Caenorhabditis elegans: one gene and its partners. The protein of the gene in region 1 purifies or fractionates together with the protein of each later gene. This does not show direct contact. Each region holds a gene or a part of one and is shown in the gene's direction. Other genes may lie near its edges. The genes, in order: fbxa-140, Y52B11A.10 and T03F7.7.

Region 1 (6,477 bases):
TTCCAAGCTCTTTTTCCAGATTTTGCGGAAAAATTAACGATTTTCGGTATTTTTGCCGGAAAAACTTGTTGATTTTAAATAAACTCCTTTTTTGCCTTAAAAAGCGATTTTCTTGGAATTTAGATTTTAAAAATCCGTTAATTCACAAATTTTCGGGTCAGAAACGGCATTTTAAGCGATTTTGCCAGTAAATTAGGAGAAAAATAGAAAACGTTTTCATTTTTTGGCCTTTTTGCCGTGAAATTAACTGAAATTTTGATTAAAAAACGTTTTTTTTTGTTAGAAAACATGAATATATTTATTTATATAAATGAATTTTTCAAGGATTTTCTCGGATTTTGAGTCAAAATTCCGATATTTTCATAAATTTCCGGGTCCGAAACGGTATTTTTCGTGATTTCCTCGCAATTTTAGAAGTTTTCCTTGTAAAAATTGGTTGAGGCTCAGAGAATCTTGTAGTTTGTAGTTTGTAGCCCCATAGCCTCAACCATCTTCCAATTTCCAGATCAACAAATCACTCGGATTTCGTATTCAACGCGGATCGTCTGATGCGGCTTGTAATTGAAGAATGTCTCAATCATCTTCCATTCACTGAGCACACAGTTACCACACCAACAGGCTTCAAATATGAAGGAATTCAATTTAATCGTGGAAATTGTGGAGTATCGTTGTGTAGAAGTGGAGAGGCGATGGAAGTTTCATTGAGACAGTGTTGTCGGTGTATTCGAATTGGAAAAATTCTGATTGGTACGGGAAATTGAGGATATCGAGAGGAATTTGGGAAATTTCCTAGAAAAGGCGAAGAAAATTGAGAAATATAGAAGAAAATGGCGAAAAATCACCAAAATCATTGCGATTTTCATCAATTTCTCCCTGAAATTACCTGGAATCTCTTATAAATGCAGATTTCTGCTTGAAAAATGGAAAAATCTGGTGAATATCCAGTTTTTATAGATTTTCTCCTGAATACCCCTCAAAATCTGTGAAAAGTCTGACTTTTCCTTCAAAAATACCTCTAATTCGTAGAGAAACTCGTTTTTTCAGCCGAAAAATGTTTTTTTTTTTAAATCTGTAATAAATATGTACTGTTCTTATGGTAAAATTCCTGAAAAATATATTAAAAATATATATAATAGTAAAATTTGCGTTTTTACCCAGAAAAGTGGTAGAAATCGTGAGTTTTACTGAGTTTGTCGAAAACTGGCGATACTTTTTTAAAAGAAAAACCTCAAAACTCGCAAAATTTCCAATTTTCATCCACTTTTTGTTACAGGCGACGAACAAAAAGTGCTCTACGCCAGGCTTCTTCCGGATATCACGTCGCGTCGAGTTCTACTGCTCTACCCAACGATAGGGTACGCTCAGAGACTACAAACTACAAAAAATATCTGGCCGAAATAAATTTGATTGAAAAATCTGAGAAAAAAAACACAAAATTTAATGTCAAAAAATCGATTTTCCCGGCGAAAAATCGTAAAATTCAATAATTTGTTTGACGTAGAAACTTTAAAAATGTCGATCACTAAAACTTCCCCAGAAGGCGAAAAATTGTCTAAAAAATTGAGTTTTTTTTTGTGCAAAAAAAATCTTTTTTTGAAATTTTTTTAACTGAAGAAACATTTAAATTTAAAAAATCACATTTTTATCAAAATTTCCAATTTTTCAGATCTGGGACGACAGTTTGCAAGGCAATTGAAGTCCTAAAAGAGGCACGTGTCCCAGATGAGAATATCTACTTGGTTTCCCTATTCATCTCACCGACTGGACTCAAGAATATAACCAGAAAGTACCCGTATATCACTGTCGTCGCCTCCGATATCACATCTCTCTATCCAAATCATTTCTCAACCAGCTATTTTGGTGCTGTCTAGACTAGTTTTGTGTAGTTTGTAGCCTTTTGACACTACAAACTACATCGTTTCCGTTTCAAATGCAGTATTTTTATTCACTTTTCTCACTTGATCATCTCTTCATTTCTCGTTATTGGTTTGTAGTTTGTAGTTATTGTAGTCTTCTTTTTTACTTTTTCACTGTTGATTTCCCCTATTTTTTTTTGACAAAATGTTCATTGAATTTCCGCATAACTAAATTCTTTTGTGTTGTTTTCGGTTCATTAAACATTATTTTAAGATGCAATGACTACGGTAGTCATTTTCTGAGTACATGGTGTGCGTACAGGGCGCTATATTTTACGCGCAAAGTTGAGAGTGAGATTTTTCCTCATTTTTTGGATTTTCACTGCAAATTTAAGAAATTTTACGAAAATAAACGTTTTATTTCAAATTCTATTTGCTACTTTGCATGCAAATTGTTTTTTTTTCATTATATTCTGAAAATAAAATAAGTTAAAATTAGCCGTTTCAAAAAAAGTTTCCGAAACTACGGTAGTTCTCGGAGTACGCAACTTGCGTACCGGGCATCTCATTTGACGCACAGAATTCCTAGTTTATTGTTTTTGGATTTTCAAAATTTCAAACATAGTTTTTGCATTTTTCCTGTCGTTTTTGTGATTTTTATTTGTGAAAATTTATTAGACAGAAAAGAAATTTTCAGTTTTCACGAAATTTACTGGAAAATTTGTTATTTTACCGTTAGGTAACGTATTTTACAAAGATATTTCACTTTATCCGTATTTTCTTATTGTTTTCTTCACTTCAAACGATTGAAAACTGAATCAATCAAATAAATTTCCTATTTTTCAGGTAATTTGTCAAAATGACTGGCTCATCTCGTGGAATTGTCGAAATGACAAAGAAACTGGATCGATTAAATTGTTAGTGTTAAAATGAAATTTGCATCGGATTCAGTTTAAAATTTGCTTATTTTCAGATCGAAGAAAAGACCACTTACGCTTTTAAGCATGCCAGTTGATGTTATGGAGAAAGTTATGAAGAAAGTGGATCCATACGATTGGTATCAAATTTTGAATGTTAGGCAAATGTTAAAAAAAAACCAAATGAGTTTCAGGATTTCCGTCCGCAATTCCAATCGAAATCTTCGAGATTTCGTCGACAGCCAGCACCTCAAATTGGACATTGATGTTTCTATTGAGGGCACTTTTCACACCATTGATATCAATGGAAATCAATCCTTCGGACCTTTCCATCCGGTCGTGGCTGATGATGAAAGAAGAACCATCTACAATAAAAGACTACAGTTTGCTCTCAGAAAATTGTTCGTGGTTATGAAGCTTCCAAGTGCCCAAATTGAAGAGTTCAAACTGGATTTTGACTTTATGGGAAGAGGAAGTGACGAATTTGAAGATATCTACGATATTGGTTCCAGAAGAGTTAGTTTTAAAAATAAACTGTTGAGTGCAAGCCTGAGAACAATCGATAAGGAGTTTGGAGAGTTTCACTGTTTCCAAGCGAAATCAGTTTCTCTGAGTGGACTAAAGGAACCTCGAACTGTGCTCATTCTCAAATCTTTCAAGTCTGGAACTCTCGAGAACATTGAAATCATTAATTCCTACAAGTTCTACTTCAGTTGGCAGCTGACGCTTTCGGAGCAGTGGAAGAATGCGAAAAAACTGAAAACTGGACTTTCCACTGATCGCTACACCGGAATTCGAGTTGCTGAACTGTTCGCATTTTCAAATATCGAATTCACAACTGTAGTATTGTCATCTGATTTGAAAGTGGTATAGAAATTCTTAATTATTGATTAATTAATTTTAGATTTTTTTTCAGTTGGTTGATTCGTCTGCAAAGCTGGAAACTTGTCTCAGCAGGAACACGTATGACAGCGAGGATGACAGCGATGAAGATAGTGATGAAGACAGCGATGATGAGGACAATAGTGGAGTGTTAACGGTGTCAAAAGAAGTGCTCAAAGTGTTCGATCCGAACTTTGTTGGCTATAACGGAACAATCAATTACAAAGCAAATGGATTCGAATATCTCATTGAAGTCACTGAATTCGAAACTAAAATTGTGAAGAAAATCGAATAATCTTCTCATTTTTCAAAATTTGCTTTTGTTTTACTAGTCACATGAATTCTTATTTTGTTACTTTTTTTGTTTTGAAACTGATTAAACCAATAATTTGGGTTACGGCTGAATGTTACCTTCCGTTTAATATTTTGTAATCTTCCCAGTTTTTCTATATTTTAAAAGGAATTCTCGAATAGTTAACAAAGATCCTTTTCCAAACTACGGTAACTCTCAGAGTACGCAGTATGCGTACCGGGCATCTCATTTGACGCACAAAAATTCTAAATTTTTTTTTGAATTTTCAAATGTGGTTTATGCGTTTTTCTAACCAATTTTTTGTGATTTTTCCCCTGAAAATGATTTAAAATAAGTAAAATAACCTGTTTTTGTAAAAATTAATTTCGTTTTTACACATTGAACGTGATTTTCTATATTTACTCAAATTAATTTTTTTCAGGTAATTCGTCGACATGACTAGCCAAAGAGCAGAAATTGGTGAAACGACGGACAAGCAGAATTCCATGAAATTGTTAGTTATTTAGGCTACAATAATTTCAAATAACTTTTTTAAAACACATTTTCAGATCGAAGACAAGCTCGCCGACGCTTTTTGACTTGCCTCTGAATATTATGAAGAAAATTGTGAAGAAACTGCATCCATACGATTGGTAAGATCAAATAAATAAAAATTATATTTTTAGAAAGTATAATAAAAATATTTTCAGGATTTCCGTTCGCAATTCCAATGGAAATCTTCGAAGCTTCATCGACACCTTGAAACTGGATTTGGACATTGATATTTTTATTGAGGGCCATAGGTACACCATTGTTCTCAATGGAAAATCATTTCGTTATCGGTATAGATTTGTGCCTTATGATGAAATAAGCAACGCTCGCAATGAACCTTTCCATCCGGTCGTGGCTGATGATGAAAGAAGAACCATCTACAATAAAGGACTACAGTTTGCTCTCAGAAAATTGTTCAATGTCATGAAGCTTCCAAAAGCTCAGATTGAGAAGTTCAGTCTAGATTTCGACTCAATTGGAGGATATGAAGACTATGTCCACAATGAACGGTTGAGGTCAAGCCTGAGAACAATCGATATGGAGTTTGGAGATGCTCACTGTTTCCGAGCGAAATCAGTTTCTCTGAGTGGATTCAAGAAACCACGAGCTGCGCTAATTCTCAGTTCTTTCGATGCTGGAACACTTGTGAAATTTGAGATTATGCGTTGCATCTTCAACGATATTCGTCCACTAACTTGCTTGGAACAGTTTAAAAATGCAAAACAATTGCGAACTGATCTTAACATTTGCTCCGTCTTTGGATTTACTGTGTCGGATCTTCTTGGATTTTCAAGTATTGAATTCACCAGTCCAGAGGTATCGCCAAATGATCTGAAAGAGGTATAGCAATAATCAATTTTTAGTTGATTTAATTAAAATTCTTTCAGTTGGTAAATTCGTCTACAAAGCTGGAAACTTGTGTCGTCAGCAAGCAATTAGATGATAGTGAATCAATTGCAGAAGAAATGCTCCAAGAGTTTGATCCTACCTTCGCTGGCAAAACCGGAACCATCAATTACAAGGCAAATGGATTTGAATATGTCATTGAAGTCACTGAAGAGCGAGTGAAAATTGAGAAGAAACTCGGCTGATTATTTAATTTTAATTTTTGTTTTTTGGTTTTTCAAAAATTGTTGTTTAATTTATTGTTGTTCATCTCGTTCTCATGAATTTGCTTTTGTCATTTTTCTTTGATCAACACTGGAAGGCTAATAGACTACAAACTAGACATTTTATAAGCCTAAGCCAAGAAAGTACATTGAAAAAACGTCGCTTCCGGTAAAGAAAATAAATCAACCGAAAGCGAAACTTGACTTTTTTTTGAAAATTATTTATGGAAAGTTCATGTTTTTAGTCGTTTTAGTGAAAAAATTTAAAAAAAAAAATTAAAAAAAAAAAAAAAATCAAGTGCTTAAATAAATTATATATTTTTGAAAAGAAAAATGAATTTATTCCTGCTCTAAGCTACAAATTTGTCATATTTTGAACCTTTCTTCTAGAAATTTTAGCTGAAAGTGAAGAATATACTAGCAAAAATTGTAAATTAATTTTTTAAAAACGTTTTTAGAAATTTTAAATTTTTTCACAAAAAAAAAATTTCCCAAAGTGTTTTTTCAAAATTCAAATTTTAATTTTATTACAAGCCCAAAACGTGTAACGAGTTCTATAACAATGATCTGGACCGCAAAATATGTCATTTTTGCAGCTATTTACACATCCCTTCGATGCACCATGGGGGCTCATTGCTCCAGTCATTGGCTATTTGGATACTATTAATAATAATACAAATACATGTTTTTCGCTGTAAATTATTGATTCCCGCTACTATATAATCATATTATTCAAGTTTTGAGAGAGTTTCAAAATTTGAAAAAAAATATTTTGTTTTGGAAATTTTTTAAGTGTTTGAAAATTGAAACTATGAGGTATAATTCGAATTATTTGATGTATTTTTGCTTGGTTTTAGGTGAGTTAGTGT
Region 2 (7,975 bases), 1.9 Mb from region 1:
TGACGACTCCCTTCGCTTTGTAGTACTCGGAGCCAAGTGATTTTGTGATAACCTGGGGGAAAAAATCGATAAAGTCATCGAACGTAACTCAGCGCCCTAGCAGAACCGCTAAGCAGTCCTATAAGCTCAAAACTGTGGGCTCAGCATGGTTTTGAAGGTTTTAAATAGTTTTAAAACCTTGAAAACCACGTTGAACTCAGAATTTGGAACTTATGGGACAAGCTTCACGGTGCTGCTAGGGCGAGGTGCAATTTTATGAGGAATGTTTTGAAAACTTTATAGTGTTTAGGCGTAAACTATGCAAATTGTCGTACAAAACTACTTTTTCTCATATTTTGGAACTTTTCTAGCAATCTAGGATATATTTTGAACAAGAAAGATCGTCTTCAAAAGTTAATTTTCACTAAAAATTCGATTGTTTCGTTTTTTCATTCTATTTAGGGTACAAAAGGTGGGCGGCAAAATATTTTTTCCGCCAAACCGGCAAATTGCCGGAATTGAAAATTTCCGACAAGATGTGGTTTTGCCCTTTTTTTTTTTTGGAAATGTCAGAATTTCAATTTCAAATGGCCAAATGAAACACATCCTATGAATACAATTCCTACATTTATTTCGATAAGTAAGCGAATTCTGTGAAAATAACTAGAAAAAACGGGAAAAACTTTAAAATGACACAATTTTAAGTGTTTCCGTCTTGTCAAAAATCCCTCAAGGCATTTCCGGCAAACCTGATAACCGGCAAATCGGCAATTTGTCGACAAATCAATTTGCCGAACGGCAATTGCCGCCCACCCCTGCTTTAAATTCAATTTTTTTGGGGTTTTCATTCTAATTTAATTAATTTCTGTGCTAATCACCTTAACAACAATCCCCTCTCTCATCCAATAATCCTTCCGATTCTTCCGCTCCTTTTTCCTCTCCTCCATCTCCTTAATCTCATCTAGCGCTGACTTTTTCGAGAATTTTTTGGCGGCCGGGCTCCGGCTCCGGGATCTCTTTTTACCACTTTTGCGTGATGGTTGTGATGGTCCCGGCTCATCCGGATCCTCTTTTTTGACTTTTGGCATATCGAAAATCGAGATTTTCGCCGACGCCACACCACTTTTAACGTCCAATTTCCGATCTAGAATCCCCAAATTTAAATCCAGCTGAATTTTCTGATCCGGAGTATCCCTGATGAGCTCTGTGGCTTCATATTCGTGCTCATCATCCCCGGCGAGCTCTTTTCCTCGTTGGACCATCCCGTCCATAATCTGCATATGACGCTCTTCGTCATCCTTCTCCTGTTGCTGTTTTCGTTGATCTTCTTCTTTTCGGATTAAGGCTTCTTGATCGATATATGCAATATACCATCCTTTATCACCTTCGTCGATTTTACATTTTCCAGATGATCCGAGATACTGGACGAAGCCTGTCAACGAGTGCCATACTGTAGAGTTCATGTGCACGTGACCCTGAAATTTGGTGATTGGTGGCTCCGAACGTAAGTCAGCGCCCTAGCAGAACCGATCAGCAGTCCTATAAGCTCAAAAATGCGGGTTCAGCTTGATTTTAAAGGTTTAAAACCTTGAAAATCAAGTTGAACTCGGGATTTTGAACTTATGGAACAAGCTTCATGGTGCTGCTAGGGCGAGGTGCAATTTTGAGGGAAAATTTAGAGAATTTGGAGCTTTTCGGCTCAAATTATTGGAATATGTTGTTGTAGTCCTTAGAAGGCTATAAACTGCAGATTGGGTTGAATTTTTCCGTTTTTCAGACAAAAATTTAACAAATTTCAAAATTTTAGGCTAATTTCAATTTTCAAAAACTACGAAATTGACCGCAAATTATTTAAAAATAAAAATTTCATGGATTTATGAAAATTTTAACAAAAATTAAATTTTTTAAAGGTTTTTTTTCGGAAAAACCTTTCCAAATGTTCCCAATTTGGTTGAGGCTCACAGACTACAAACTACAAAATTTTGCGGGAAACTGAATTTTTTCAAATATTTTACGTTAAAAATTCAATTCTGAACCTTAAAATCAAAATTGTTCCAATTTTTAGCGAAAAAAATAAATTTTCATTTTGGGTGAGGGTCAGAGACCCCTATGAGCTCCATTACAAACTACAAAATTTCTAGCCTCTACCAAAGTTTTTTGAGATAAATTTTACATTTTTCAGTTTAAAACTGGATTTTTTTGTTCAATTGTTCTGAATTTTGAATTCAAAAATGCAGTTTTACACTGAAAGTTTCGAAAAAATGGCAAAAATCCTTTTTAAATCTTGATTGAGGCTCACAGACTACAAACTACAACATTTTCAGCCTCACCAAACATTTCTCACTTGAAAACTGGATTTTTTTGTCCAATTTAACTGAATTTTCAATTCGAAAATGCAGTTTTACACTAAAAGTTGAGCAAAAAATACGAAATTTGGCCAAAAATCGTGAAAATCCTTTTAAAAATGGGCAAACTACAAACTACAACATTTTTCAGCCTCAACCAAATTCAAAAACTTGTTTTTAATGGTTTTTTGCCGATTTTAATGCATTTTTCGGCGTTTTTCCGGCAATTTCTTCAAGTTTTCTTGAAATTTCTCTTACCTTATCTTTAATAAACGCATTATACACCTCATTGGCACGAACTCGCTTCGTTCCGTACGAAGTTCGCAGCAACTGCATGAAATTCTTCTCAAAATCATTGGAAAACTGTCGGAGATAGGAATTCGAGTTCTCGGCAAAGAGCAAAAGTTGCCGTTGATGTGCTTCGGAAGTTAAGTGGCATTTGAAGCCGTTCGCGTCTCGACACTGCTTTTGGCACATTTGGCAGAAGCTGGAAATAATAATAATCATTTTTATTAATTTTTAACTGTTTAATTGAATATTTCGTTAATTTTAACTCAATTTAACCAGCAAAAACCGACAAAAATCGCTTAAAATTAATTATTTTTAAATTTTTACTTAAAAAGTGCCATACAATTTCAATTTTTGTAATCCTTTCGATTTTGTTCGATTTGCCAAGTCTTTTGAACTTCCTTTTTCGTGTTTTCCCATTTTTAAATCTGAAAAAATTAGGAATTTTAGGTGAAAAAGCTTGAAAAAGCTTGCAAACCAAAAAACTAAAGAAATAAATTCGAAAAACACGCGCTGTGGATTTACGGTAAACAACGCGCACTAGCGGGATTTCGGAGTGTCGTTGCAAATATTTATTTTTTTTTTTTTTCGATTAATCTTTTTCAGCGAATTTCGATGAATTTTTAACGAAAAACTTTAATTTTTTACTATTTCAGGGTAAAATGAAGCTTCCACTATTCAAAAAAGATGGAATGTCGCGGAAGGAACAACGAAAATCCGCGAAACAGCTCAAGAAAATGCAGGCAAAGGCATTTTCCCAGAGAACTCCGGTATATTTTGCGATTTTTTGCTTCAAAAATTCAATTTTCAGATAGAACAAGTGATGAGAGAGACGATGGGAATGACGAAAGAGGATAAAAAGAAGAGAAAACGGAAAAGACAGCTGGAAGCGAAGAAAGAGCAGAGAAAATTGGAATATCTGCAGAATAAAAATCGAAATGACGGGGATTCCGATGACGAGGAGGATATGGAAGATTCTGAAGACGAAGAAGAGGTTTTAGCATGATTTTTGTATAGAAATAACTCGAAAATTCCAGAAAAAGCCCACAAATCGCAAGGGAATCGTCGAAGTGAGCGTGAATAAGGGAAAACGGAAGTATGGTGATGATTCTGAGGATAGTGATGAGGATTTGACCTATGAACAGTATATGGAAGAGGTTCAGGTAGGAGAAAATGCGAAAAAAACGGAGAAAAACTGAAAAAACGGCTATTTTTGGCAGATTTTATCGATTTTTCGTCTGAAAATCGTGGAAAATGTAGCTTAAAACATTTAAAATTGCCAAAAAATACGAAAAAATGACGAGAAATCAAAGAAATCCTATAAAAATCGACTAAATATTGGTTGAGGCTCAGACTACAAACTACAACAATTCCTGAGCCTCAACCAACGAGAAAATTTAATTTTTAATATTTTTTACCCGAATTTTCTCTAATTTTTTAAGGTTTTTAGACTTAAAATCAAAGTAAATGTCGTTTAGGAATGTTGAAATGACAAAAAAAATGCGAAAAATTGCAAAAATTCAAGAAAAAACACAAAAAAGCTGATGAAATTCTAGTTGAGGCGCAGAGACTACAAACTACAATATCGTCTGAGCCTCAACCAACGGGAAAAGTTAATTTTTAATAGTTTTTTCTCGAATTTACTCGAATTTTGAAAGTTTTTTTTTTAACTCAAAAGCAAAGTAAATGCCGTTTAGGCTTGTTAAAATGATAAAAGTTGCGAAAAAATAGCAAAAATTCCTGAAAAACACTAAAAACAGATGAAATTCTGGTTGAGGCTCAGACTACAAACTACAATAACTCCTGAGCCTCAACCAACGAGAAAATTTATTTTTTAACAGTTTTTTTTTTCTGAATTGTCTCTAATTTTTAAAGTTTTTTGGGTTAAAATCGGTGGAGAAGTAGTTTATGCACGTTAAAATGACAGAAATTTCGAATAAAATTGCAAAAAATCGAGAAATAACACTAAAAACCGACGAAATTCAGATTTAAGGCTCAGACTACAAACTACAATATCGTTTGGGCCTCAACCAACCGAAAAAAAACTGATTTTTTGGTTTTTTCCTCCAATTTTTTAGACTTTTTTTGCTAAAATATAAACATTTAAAATGTGAAAAATTCAATTTTTCCACAGATTTTTTACAAATTCCCACTAAAAATCCAATTTTTAATGCAAAAATTGTCGATTTTCATCTATTTTCACTTCCAGACAGCGACAAAAAAGCGGCGACAAGAAGCCGACGGAACTGAGGAAGATGACGCCGCAATTCGTAAATATGGAGTACTTTTAGGTGTAAATGAGCAGAAAAAGGAGCGAGATGGCAAGCTAAAAGTACCGAAATCCATGAAAAGTGATGGATTGGATTGTGAGTTTGTAGTTTGTAGTCTTTAAAAGCTAGGAATTTACCTGAAAACCTGGAATTTACATAAAAATTTCGAATTTTCACTCAGAAATTTGAATTTTTACTGAAAAATTCCAACAAAAAAAATGGTTGATGCTAAACAGTTTGTAGTTTGTAGTCTGTGAGCCTCAATCAAGATTTAAAAAGGATTTTGAAGGCTGAAGTCTGCTTTTTTTTGCAATTTTTAAACAAGTTTCGTATTTTAATGAAATTTTCAGCGAAAAACTGCAGTTTCGACTTCAAAAGTTTGGAAAAATGGTTAAAAACCTAATTTTTAACTGAGAAAATGTGGTTGAGGCTGAAAAATGTGTAGTTTGTAGTCTGTGAGCCTCAACCAGTTTTTGAAATTATTTTTTGATGTTTTTTCGCCGTTTTTGGGTCATTTTCGATAATTTTTCAATTAAAAATACAAGAAAGTTGGCCAAAATCTTCATTTTTATCTAAAATTAACAAAAAAAAACCTCAATTTTCATTCAAAAATTAGACAGAAAAATGTCAAAAAAAATTTAAGTGAGGCTAAATATTTATTATTTTTATTTTTAATTTTAATTTTTTTTTTTTTTTATAAAAAAAAAATACAAGAAAGTTGGCCAAAATCTTCATTTTTATATAAAATTTTAATAAAAACTTGAATTTTCACTCTAAAATTCAAAATTTTCAGTACTTCTCGACTTTTGCGATTCGGAACGGCGTAAGGAGCTAATGGAAGATGAACTTGACGATGATAATATGGAAGATGAAGAAGAATTTGAAGATGAAGAGGATGAAGCTGATGAATCTGGAAATGAGCTAGATCTTTCTGAAGGAGAAGAGCCTGTGGAATCGGAGGATGATGAGGATATGGTAAATATTACTGGAAATATCTTGAAATACTGAAAAAACTGAAAAAAAAATGATTAAAATACACGATTCTAGGCTGAAATTCGACATTTTTAACGTAAAAAATCGGAACTTTGTTTTGAAAAAAAACATTTTCGAAAATTTTGACCAATTTTCCAGTTTTTACTCAAAAAATACTCCAAAATTGCACAAAAACCGCGAAAAACCATTAAAAAATCATTTCAAAATTTGGTTGAGGCTCACAGACTACAAACTACAAAATTCCTAGCCTCAACCATATTTTTTGTGATAAAAAATGACTTTTTTCAGTGAAAAATTGGGTTTTATGTTCGATTTTTTATTGAATTTTCAAATCGAAATTGCAGTTTTTCGCTGAAAAATCCATTAAAAATACAAAATTTATTCAAAAATTGCAAAAAAAAAGCTGAAATCTGCCGCAAAAATTCTTTGAAAATTGGTTGAGGCTAACAGACTACAAACTACAAAAAGTTTAGCCTCAACCAAATGAAAAAAGATATTTTTCAGTTAAAAAATGCGGTTTTTGTTCAATTTTTCTGAATTTTCAAAGAAAAAATGCATTTTTGCCCGTTTTTCCAAAATTTTAATTAAAAACTCAAACGTTCTGCCTTTTTTTTCGCAAAAAAATGCTCGAAATTGGCTCAAAAGTCCTCCAAAAAATGATAGAGGCTCACAGACTACAAACTACAAAATGTTTAGTCTCAACCATATTTTTTGTGATAAAAAAAACTTTTTTCACTTAAAAATTGAGTTTTATGTTCGATTTTTTTGAATTTTCAACTCGAAAATGCAGTTTTTCGCTGAAAATTTCATTACAAACAGAAAATTTGGTCAAGAACTGCAAAAAAAGCTGACTTCTGCCTCAAAAATTCTTTAAAAATTGGTTGAGGCTCACAGACTGCAAACTACAAAATTTCTAGCCTCAACCAAATGAAAAAAGGTATTTTTCAGTTAAAAAATCGTATTTTTCTTCAATTTTCAAAATTTTTAAGTATAAAAATTCAGTTTTTCCCAAAAAGTTTAAAAATTTTAATTAAAAACTCAAACGTTCTGCCTTTTTTTTCGCAAAAAAATGCTCGAAATTGGCTCAAAAGTCCTCCAAAAAATGATAGAGGCTCACAGACTACAAACTACAAAATGTTTAGTCTCAACCATATTTTTTGTGATAAAAAAAACTTTTTTCACTTAAAAATTGAGTTTTATGTTCGATTTTTTTGAATTTTCAACTCGAAAATGCAGTTTTTCGCTGAAAATTTCATTACAAACAGAAAATTTGGTCAAGAACTGCAAAAAAAGCTGACTTCTGCCTCAAAAATTCTTTAAAAATTGGTTGAGGCTCACAGACTGCAAACTACAAAATTTCTAGCCTCAACCAATGGAAAATAAAAATATTTTCTGTTAATTTTTTTTTCAGAAATGCTCAAAATTGGCAAACAAAAAGTTGTTATTCTTTGATTTTTCCATTGAAAATTGCAGTTTTTCGCTTAAAATTTCATTAAAAAACGATAAAAATTTGTCAAAAATTTCAATTTTTCAGGTGGACGAAATGATGTCAGACGAGGAAGATAACGTGGATGATGAGAAAATCGTGGAAATTTCGGATTCGGAAATTGAAACCTCCGCACCTAAAAAATCCGAAGAAACTGAAGATATTTATGGTCGAAAAATCAATAAGTCCACCGGAGAACTCATCAAATTCGATCCGGCGGCGGCGCGGAAAAAGCTCGAGGAGCTCGATGCCACGTCATCAACCGGAGAGCAGAAGCAACGAGTTGAACGGGCGGTTAATAGTATTATTAATAAGCTTTCCGACGCAATGCTCATCAAATCTCAGCAGGGAATCGCTGAATTATGGGCGAATAGCTCGAAAAATGGTAATTTTTAGGCTGAAAATGTTGAAAAATTGCAGAAAAAGTAGGGAAAATCAATAAAATTTCCTGAAAAATGCCGCAAAAATTGAAGAAAAACCGTATTTTCTGGCTAATTTTCCTTAAAAAAAAATGCGAGAAAAACCACAAGAAATTGGTTGAGGCCCACGACTACAAACTACAAAATTTCTAGCCTTAACCATATTTTTTGGTGATAAAAATGTAATTTTTTTCA
Region 3 (7,634 bases), on another chromosome or scaffold:
TTTTCAGAATAATTTTGAAAATAATTGTATAGGCATTTAGTGACAACGTCTTTGCCAAATTGGGCTAAAAACATAAGCTTGGTTCAAAAGGCACACAATGGAGAAAAGGTAGGCAAATCTTGGGGATCAAGTTTACATCTATTGGACCAACTTGGTCGATAGATTGGCTATAAATTCCAAGATGTCGAAACATTCTATCAGTTCAATGTTTTCTTGCTATCTAACAACTGTTCATTTCTTGTTTTTTTTTGTCTCGTACCTTTGAAAATAGGGCAAATTTTGAACATTCCAAGTCCTCCGACAGACATGAGTTGTCCCCATGATGTTTCCAGAATGAATAGAGGTGCTCCGCAGAAGACCAATGAGATGCAATATGGAATGAGAAACGCGCCTGCAAATTGTGATTTATGATTGAGAAAAGAGCACAGGGTATCTATGAGCATCAGACGGGACATGACACGGGAAGGGCAGCATTTCCCGAGTGACAAATTGCGTGGCGGAAAGCCCATCCAATGACTGACAATTTGTCCGATTGCTTCCCATCCGATCGTTTCTCTTCTTCCAAAAGATTGTCTCCCCAAATTTTCACACCCTCCCCGCACAAGCTGTTTCGACCTTCCTATTAATCTTATAGACAACACACAAAATGAGTATTGAAAAGATGATTGACGAGGGTATAGGAAAACGAAAAGAAAGAAAGAACTAATCTTTGAGCAGCCTGCGGATCAAGTTTCGGGGGAATTTCTCTCTGGTACCCCAGTTATTATTGATATTTTGACAAACTGACACACGGCAACCCACCTCCTCCGTTCTGGTAACAAAGATATGGAAAACGCCAGACGTTACCAAGACCGATTGCGTAACCGATGCAACTCATAATAAAGTCGGCCCACGAGGACCATTGTTCTCTTTCAGCCACTGATGTGGCTTCTACCATAATTACCTGCAATTATTTTCAATTAAAAATATATAAATAATTTTAATATCGGAGATATCTGCATATAACGATGCGAAATTGAAAAAAAAACATGCGAAATTAAAAATTGAAAAATCGATATTGAGAAAAAATAACACAGACATGTACTTGTTGAATTATATTTATTTATAGCAAAACTATCATAAAACCACTGAGAAATAAAGAATTTAAAAAAATTAGTCTGCATGCATCAAAGTACGAAATTTTCAAACCCTGGAGATTCCCTAATACTTCGAGAAAACCAAATTCTAATCAATAAAATGAATTTCAAATGAGATTAGGTATCCCTCTGTTATACATTTCAATGATAGAAAGTGCATTTTAATTGCAAGAGCATGCAGACGAATGTCCTGCAGAAATCTTAACCAGAAACTACCACTAGCACAGTGTCCCTTATTCATTTACAGAATCAGCTCACTAGAAAAAAAACGAGAGGACCAATAGGCTTTTTGACAGGCAGGGGTGGTGAGAAGAAGAGTAGTTTGCGGCTTCGTTGACATAAACAAAGACAAGAATCACACACTCGGAAAAATTGAAGAAAGAAGAACCAATGGGCGGGGTGGATGAGGTTGTAGTGGCACATGAAAGTGCTTTGGGCTTCGCCACGACTGATGTAGATGATGATGATGATGATGAGGAAGATAGAACCCTCAAGATAGGAAGAGAAAGTGACAAGAGGGGGAGCAGAGGGCGGCGCGGGAGCACACAGCTGCTATTTTCCCCTGCAGGAGATTTCTGGATACAAAAAAGAGATTAAGAGTGAAATAGCAAGAGTTTGTTTAGAACCCGGTTCCCTATCACGTGGGTCGTGACCCAGCTTTTATGTGGGTTGTTCTGATAAAAATACTGAGTCATGGAAGAAACATTCCTGAAAATCCTAAATTTTGCCAAATTCCGGATACTTAATGGGTTATGATGCACGCTGCATACTTATTCGGGAAAAGCATAAATGTAGAGAAAAAGAGACATAAAAGACTTAAAGTGGACTATTTTGAAGTATCTCAATGGGACTTCTTTTGTAGAATTATTTGGAGACGAGTCGAACTCAAAGAATGTCCTAGATGAAAACGTTTGAAGATAAAACCAAAAAGATGAAAAGTGACTGATTGTGAAAGACAGATAATTACTAGGCCATTTAGAGAAATTTGCAAATCTGGAACAACTAGATTAAGAAAAAATTTTGTAGCTTGCCATAGATTTCATTCGGAGCATTAATTATGAGCTGAAATACTATCCTAGTGAGCGAATTTGTCCTAAATCAGTAATAAATTGAAATAGAACTGAAAAATATATTAAATCTATTTTAAATTGTAATGGATTCCAACAAAAATTACAGATCCTGAGACTTAACACTTAGTAACAAAACAATTAAAAATTTTCTTTTTTATTTCTCACTCCAAGTCATCAAAACTAAACATTTGGAGTCTTCTTCTTCCTCTTCTTCCAATATGCGGAATTCTTCTTCATTTTTGCTCAATTTTTATTCAAAAACGCCAGCATAAGTATGTGCTCATCCTTGAATAAATGAGGCAATTGAAGAAAGAAAAAAGAAAAAAAGTGAGTGGCGAATTCTGTTGGTGGTGGCACTGGGTGAAAGTGGTGAAAACCCCTTGAAGAGATGGAAAAGGGAGACGAAAATACGCCAATTTTTCATAAATGCTTATATTTTTGTGGTTGAGCAAGGGTGCGGACAAGAGAATACCCTGTGGAGCTTTGAATGAGATGTTTGGAAATGGTTTCAGATTTGTTCATACACGACATCACAATGAAGAAGAAAATATTGGGCTATAGAAGGACAAATTCTCTTGAGTAATGGATATCTTTAAATGAGATGGATGTGTGGTAATTTCCGGTACATTTTTTCAGATACAAACGATATAATTTGGACAGGGATGTTGTTAAAGACGTAGAGATATTATTGTAACAACTAGTACATGGAGATAATAAAATATCACGCAGAAAAAAATTACCAAAGCATGAAACGTCTACTTTAATCATCAACTAAAAATTTCCAGCAGCCGTATAACTGAATAAATGTTTTTTGATAAGCTACCTGAAAATACCGAACGGTTCATCCAATCTTATCCACTCTTATCTTCAAATGTATATTATGTGGATTAAATAATCCCGCGATTCATAAATACGAATTTATAATTGTTTTAAAAATGATTTTCCTCCTATTTTTTAATATTCCCCACTTGTGTAATACTTCAAATTCATTTTCCAAATTTTTGTACGTTCATCATTCTCTATTCCTTTACCCTTTTTCCACCTGATTCTTTTTTTCAATTAAACCTATCCCTTCCTCATCACAAGGTATTCAACAATCTGAAAAACAATCTGAAATTGTCTCCACCCATTGAATACAATTGTACGCTCATTCTCTTCAACTATTTCTTACAACAATTCATTCTTTACAAGCCGGGGCTTCAACTTTTATGTGTATGTGTGACTACCGTATTAAACGACACCTCTCTATTTCCCTTTGTTGACCATCTTGCTGCCATCTCTATTCCTGTTTACTTCTCTCTTACTAACCACCGACTATAGGAGACCGCGCACTACTAGTATAATCTAAAATTGTTCCTTTTTCGGTCTCACTTTTTTTCAACCTTTCTCTCTAGGTTCCATTCAACCTTGAGGTTTGGCATCTTCGCTTTTTTTCCAAAATTTTCTAAAATCACAAAACACGAAATTATTTTCTCTCGACCATCCTTCGCCGAATGTCTTGTATTTAACACGTCATATCACTACTGATCAAGTCCTCATTTTTTTCCATTGTGTTCGCCCCTTCTAGTGATAAAATGATAACATAACTATTATATGTATAATCACATAATCAATTGGTGATGACTGCTGATAACAGTTAAAACAGCACGACTTTCTTTTCCTGCATATTAATCTGAAAACCTGTCTCCATCAATCACTTTTTTTCATTTTTTAGGAGACCGCCTCCCACAGCCAGATTTATTTTTTAGACTGTCCCTTGCTATATACACGTTTTTTGTCGAAGAAATCACTCGTGAAACAACAAATTCAAAAATGATTGACGATATGATCACAGCGAAGAAATTCAGTGCAGACATTTTGGAAAAGGCTGAAAAATTAAAGTGAGTTTTTTTTTAATTTTTAGTTGACAATTTTCCGTTCCAGTGAATTTGACATTTAATTTGGGCAACGGCTACTAGTTTTTGACATTTTCAAATTGTTGACTTGCATTCCGATAAATCTATTGAGGATTTGAGAGTAATAAAAAGCAAAAAAAAAATTTCGGTTTTGGACGCCAATTTCCAACAACAACACCTGAAAACATTTAACCTGAAAACATTTTACAGCACATTTTTGTGAAAAACCATTTTTGAGAAAGTAATTTTTGCAGAGTTTCAATCCCATCCGTACCTGATAAAATCGATTCTCCATTCTTCTTTGCCAGATTTTTGAATGCAAATAATGGAGATGTGGAAAAGACACGCCAGAAAATTATACAGTTATTCGAACATCGTAAACTAATGGGATATGAAAAAATCAACGATCTCGATATTTTTACAACCGTAAATATTGGAAAGGATTGTTTTGAGGTGAGACTTCCCAACACTGGATAGAATTACACCTTTTGTTGTTTTTCAGAGATTCCATATTTCTCAACTTAACTATGAAGTCACATCAAAAAATCTTCATGTGTTTGTACAAAAAATGGAAGGAACTGATATCAAAGAAATTTTAAAAGTGATGCCATTGAGCTATGTTCTTCACTCATACTTTATGCTCCAAGAAAATTTTTCAAGAGCAATGGCACACACTGAAAGAAAGACAGGAAAAACATCTTCAGTCGTCTGTATTCTGGATTTGAAAGGATTAAATCTAATGGATTTCATGAATCCGTTGTCAGGACCTGCACAGTTGGCACGGCTCGTGGTGCAAGTTTGGGCAGAATATTTCAGCGAACACGTGAGTGTATAATTTCAGTTTTTACTTGAACAAAACGAGAAATTCAATATTTTAGTTGTGCAAGCTTCTTCTTATCAATCCACCTGGAATTATATCCGTCATGTGGCAAGTCACTAAACGACTCGTGGACCCTAATACAGTAGAAAAGTTAGCTTTCTTGAGCAACGTGGAAGATTTGAAAAAATATTTGGAGCCGGAGGCAATTCCAGTCGAATATGGAGGAACATATCGTGATGATACTGGATATGCAGATCCACCAGAAGGAGCATGTAAACAACCAAAGAGAATTACCAAAGAAGATTATAAACCACAAGAGTATATTTGGGTTAAAAACGGGATTCTCAAGGCACCGAAAGGAAAGAGTTACTCGATAAAAGCATTCCAGACATCAGAGTATATCATGTAAGTTATAAATTTAGAGGAAATCGAATTTTATTTGATGTTACTTACAATTAAATTTTTTTATGTTAGAGTATTTATTTATTAAAATGTTTTCATTTCATATAATTTTCATGAGAGAAAATTTCCAAAAATTGCCGATTCGCACAGAATCGTGAAAATTTTGTGCAAAAACTACAAAACCATTCACACCTTCTGAAACAATTCCGAGAAAATAATGTCCTTTTTCACAGAAAAACTACGACGGAAGGTAAACTGGTTTGGAATTACACAACCAGTGGAGACGTTGACTTCGAGATTGTTAAACGAGACGCTGGTAAAGAGATGGCTATCTGGCCGAAGATCACAGTTACAAGTCTTAAGGTTTGTTTCTTCCCTGTTTTGTTGAATTTGCACTAAAATGTATTTTCAGTTACCAGAGTTTGGCGAGAAACTTGTTGCACCGGGAGAGTATATTCTAAGGTTCAAAAATCCATCAAGTACGTGGTTCCCAGTGAAAGTCAATTGTGCTGCTGAAATTTTAAATGTGTAAATATGACAATTCATGTATTATTATCTTTATTATGAGAATGTTCTTACCGAACATAAAGACATTAAACAAATAAAAAATCAAAAAACCAAACACCCATATCAGATATTCTTTGTATCGAGGAAACGATTTCTGAGACAAATATAGATCACGAGTAGGAATTGAATTGAAATTATAATTACAGTTAAGGAAATTAGTGCAATCCAACGGTTCAATTGAAGGCAATAACCATCTAATTGGGTTGAGTCTACAATTGTTTGAACGAGAAGCTCGGCATGGACTTTTTCAGTATCTTCATTTCCAGTTAACGTTGTGTCCTCACTCTCATCAAAAGTTGTAAATCGGCGGTTACGTGATGGACAATTTGCCTGAAAATAGTATGAATAAACTCAGATTTTAGGAACAATGCCGTAGAGAGTTGATTAGAACTTTTGAACAAAAAACTAACAATATTGATAGTTGCGTTGTCCAACAAATTGTTGAAGATTATATTACCAAAATAATTTTTAATATTAACAAAAAATCTCACCTTTTTACACTTTTCACAGTACTTCACCTCACATTCAATCTTGACAGCCTCTCCCTGTTTAAACCGAAACGCTCGGAACGGTAATACGAATCCTGTAGCGGTCTCCTTAATCTCATCTCGTAAAACGTATTCCTTCGCATGTTGGGTAGCACATCTGACCATAAAGATTAATCCGAGGCATTTTGTTAGAATCCCATAAAACCAAGATAGAAAACCATCTGTCACATTTTTTCCCTTTACCGTGCAATCTCTTTCCTTCTCTCACATTCACCGCACTCTTGTCTGCCACCCTCTATGCAATTTCGGTGGTTTCACTTGTGGCCAAGTGGCAATCGTGTTGCCTCGGGACACGACACACCCGAGTTCAATTCCCGCCTGTGATGCTTTTCATGCGTGTCAGCTGAGATCCCCTGATTAGAACCACCCTTGAGGTTGTATTAACTGAGGCTATTTTTCGGTTTTTATACATAACTCACCCATTTTTAATCAAAATTATTTTCTCATCGCCATTTTGATCGTAAGCCGTGCATTTCTTCACAAAAACGTGACGAGCTGACGTTGAATTATCGACTGTGAAAACAAGATCAAGACTTTGACCGAGCTTCACTGTTCGAGCTTTAATAATTTCTCGTTTTCCGCGTAGTTCCATACTCATTGGTTTCACATTCACTTTTCCATAGATATCGAGTTTATTGAATTGTGTTGTTCTGAATTAAACATTTATTTCGCTGTTTTCAATATAATGTTTACCTTAAATTCATTGTTTTTGCCACTGCCACCGCATTTTTCTGATTCGAGTAATCACATCTCACTTTGAAAAGTTGATCATCGATCGTTATCACTGTTGCATTTCCCACACTTTCCACGTTCTGTGTTACAACAACTACAGTCTCGTAAATATCTCCGTTTTTAGTGATACAAGTTGTATCATTATGACGGATCTTTAGAATCGCTTCTCCATCCGTTCCAATTGTTTTTGAACAATTTGAGTGACCATTTCGAACGTAAATTTCTCCACCAACAAGATTGTGATTATCCGGGTTTCCAGGGGAAACTTTTACTGAAATAAATCCAAAAGTACATTGAGTACTAATTTTCACATCAAGTGGGCTCGATCCAAGTTTTGAGGATTTTTTGACGTACAGCTTTCCTGGATAAAAAATAAATTGAGTTATGTAAAAATTAGAAGAAATACTAACTTTCTTCAACTTTCTTCTGGTCCTTCTTGTTTCCTGTTGAGAATGTTTTTGCTT

What was found.
Region 2: the proteins of fbxa-140 (region 1) and Y52B11A.10 fractionate together in Caenorhabditis elegans (co-fractionation; one large-scale study listed by BioGRID). This does not show direct contact.
Region 3: the proteins of fbxa-140 (region 1) and T03F7.7 fractionate together in Caenorhabditis elegans (co-fractionation; one large-scale study listed by BioGRID). This does not show direct contact.

The regions. Positions count from the first base shown.
Region 1 is NC_003279.8:12,957,845-12,964,321, reverse strand, and holds fbxa-140 (F-box domain-containing protein), read left to right. Parts: upstream 1-2,702; 5' UTR 2,703-2,773; intron 2,774-2,829; 5' UTR 2,830-2,860; coding exon 2,861-2,913; intron 2,914-2,967; coding exon 2,968-3,640; intron 3,641-3,689; coding exon 3,690-3,950; 3' UTR 3,951-4,009; downstream 4,010-6,477. Other genes in the region: C47B2.2 (Phosphoribosyltransferase domain-containing protein), read left to right, coding at 506-747, 1,274-1,355, 1,667-1,871; fbxa-101 (DUF38 domain-containing protein), read left to right, coding at 4,403-4,461, 4,517-4,600, 4,658-5,339, 5,387-5,590; F08A8.5 (Galactoside 2-alpha-L-fucosyltransferase), read left to right, coding at 6,420-6,465.
Region 2 is NC_003279.8:11,035,788-11,043,762, forward strand, and holds the start of Y52B11A.10 (MI domain-containing protein), read left to right. Parts: upstream 1-3,268; 5' UTR 3,269-3,274; coding exon 3,275-3,382; intron 3,383-3,423; coding exon 3,424-3,606; intron 3,607-3,649; coding exon 3,650-3,775; intron 3,776-4,821; coding exon 4,822-4,978; intron 4,979-5,675; coding exon 5,676-5,857; intron 5,858-7,409; coding exon 7,410-7,746; intron 7,747-7,975. Other genes in the region: dxbp-1 (DNA/RNA-binding protein Kin17 WH-like domain-containing protein), read right to left, coding at 1-52, 858-1,454, 2,583-2,811, 2,956-3,032.
Region 3 is NC_003283.11:11,307,504-11,315,137, forward strand, and holds T03F7.7 (CRAL-TRIO domain-containing protein), read left to right. Parts: upstream 1-3,918; 5' UTR 3,919-4,018; coding exon 4,019-4,086; intron 4,087-4,355; coding exon 4,356-4,554; intron 4,555-4,603; coding exon 4,604-4,924; intron 4,925-4,979; coding exon 4,980-5,326; intron 5,327-5,556; coding exon 5,557-5,686; intron 5,687-5,735; coding exon 5,736-5,855; 3' UTR 5,856-5,942; downstream 5,943-7,634. Other genes in the region: snf-11 (Transporter), read right to left, coding at 260-391, 802-937; cutl-18 (CUTiclin-Like), read right to left, coding at 5,954-6,220, 6,382-6,535, 6,858-7,088, 7,132-7,531, 7,581-7,634.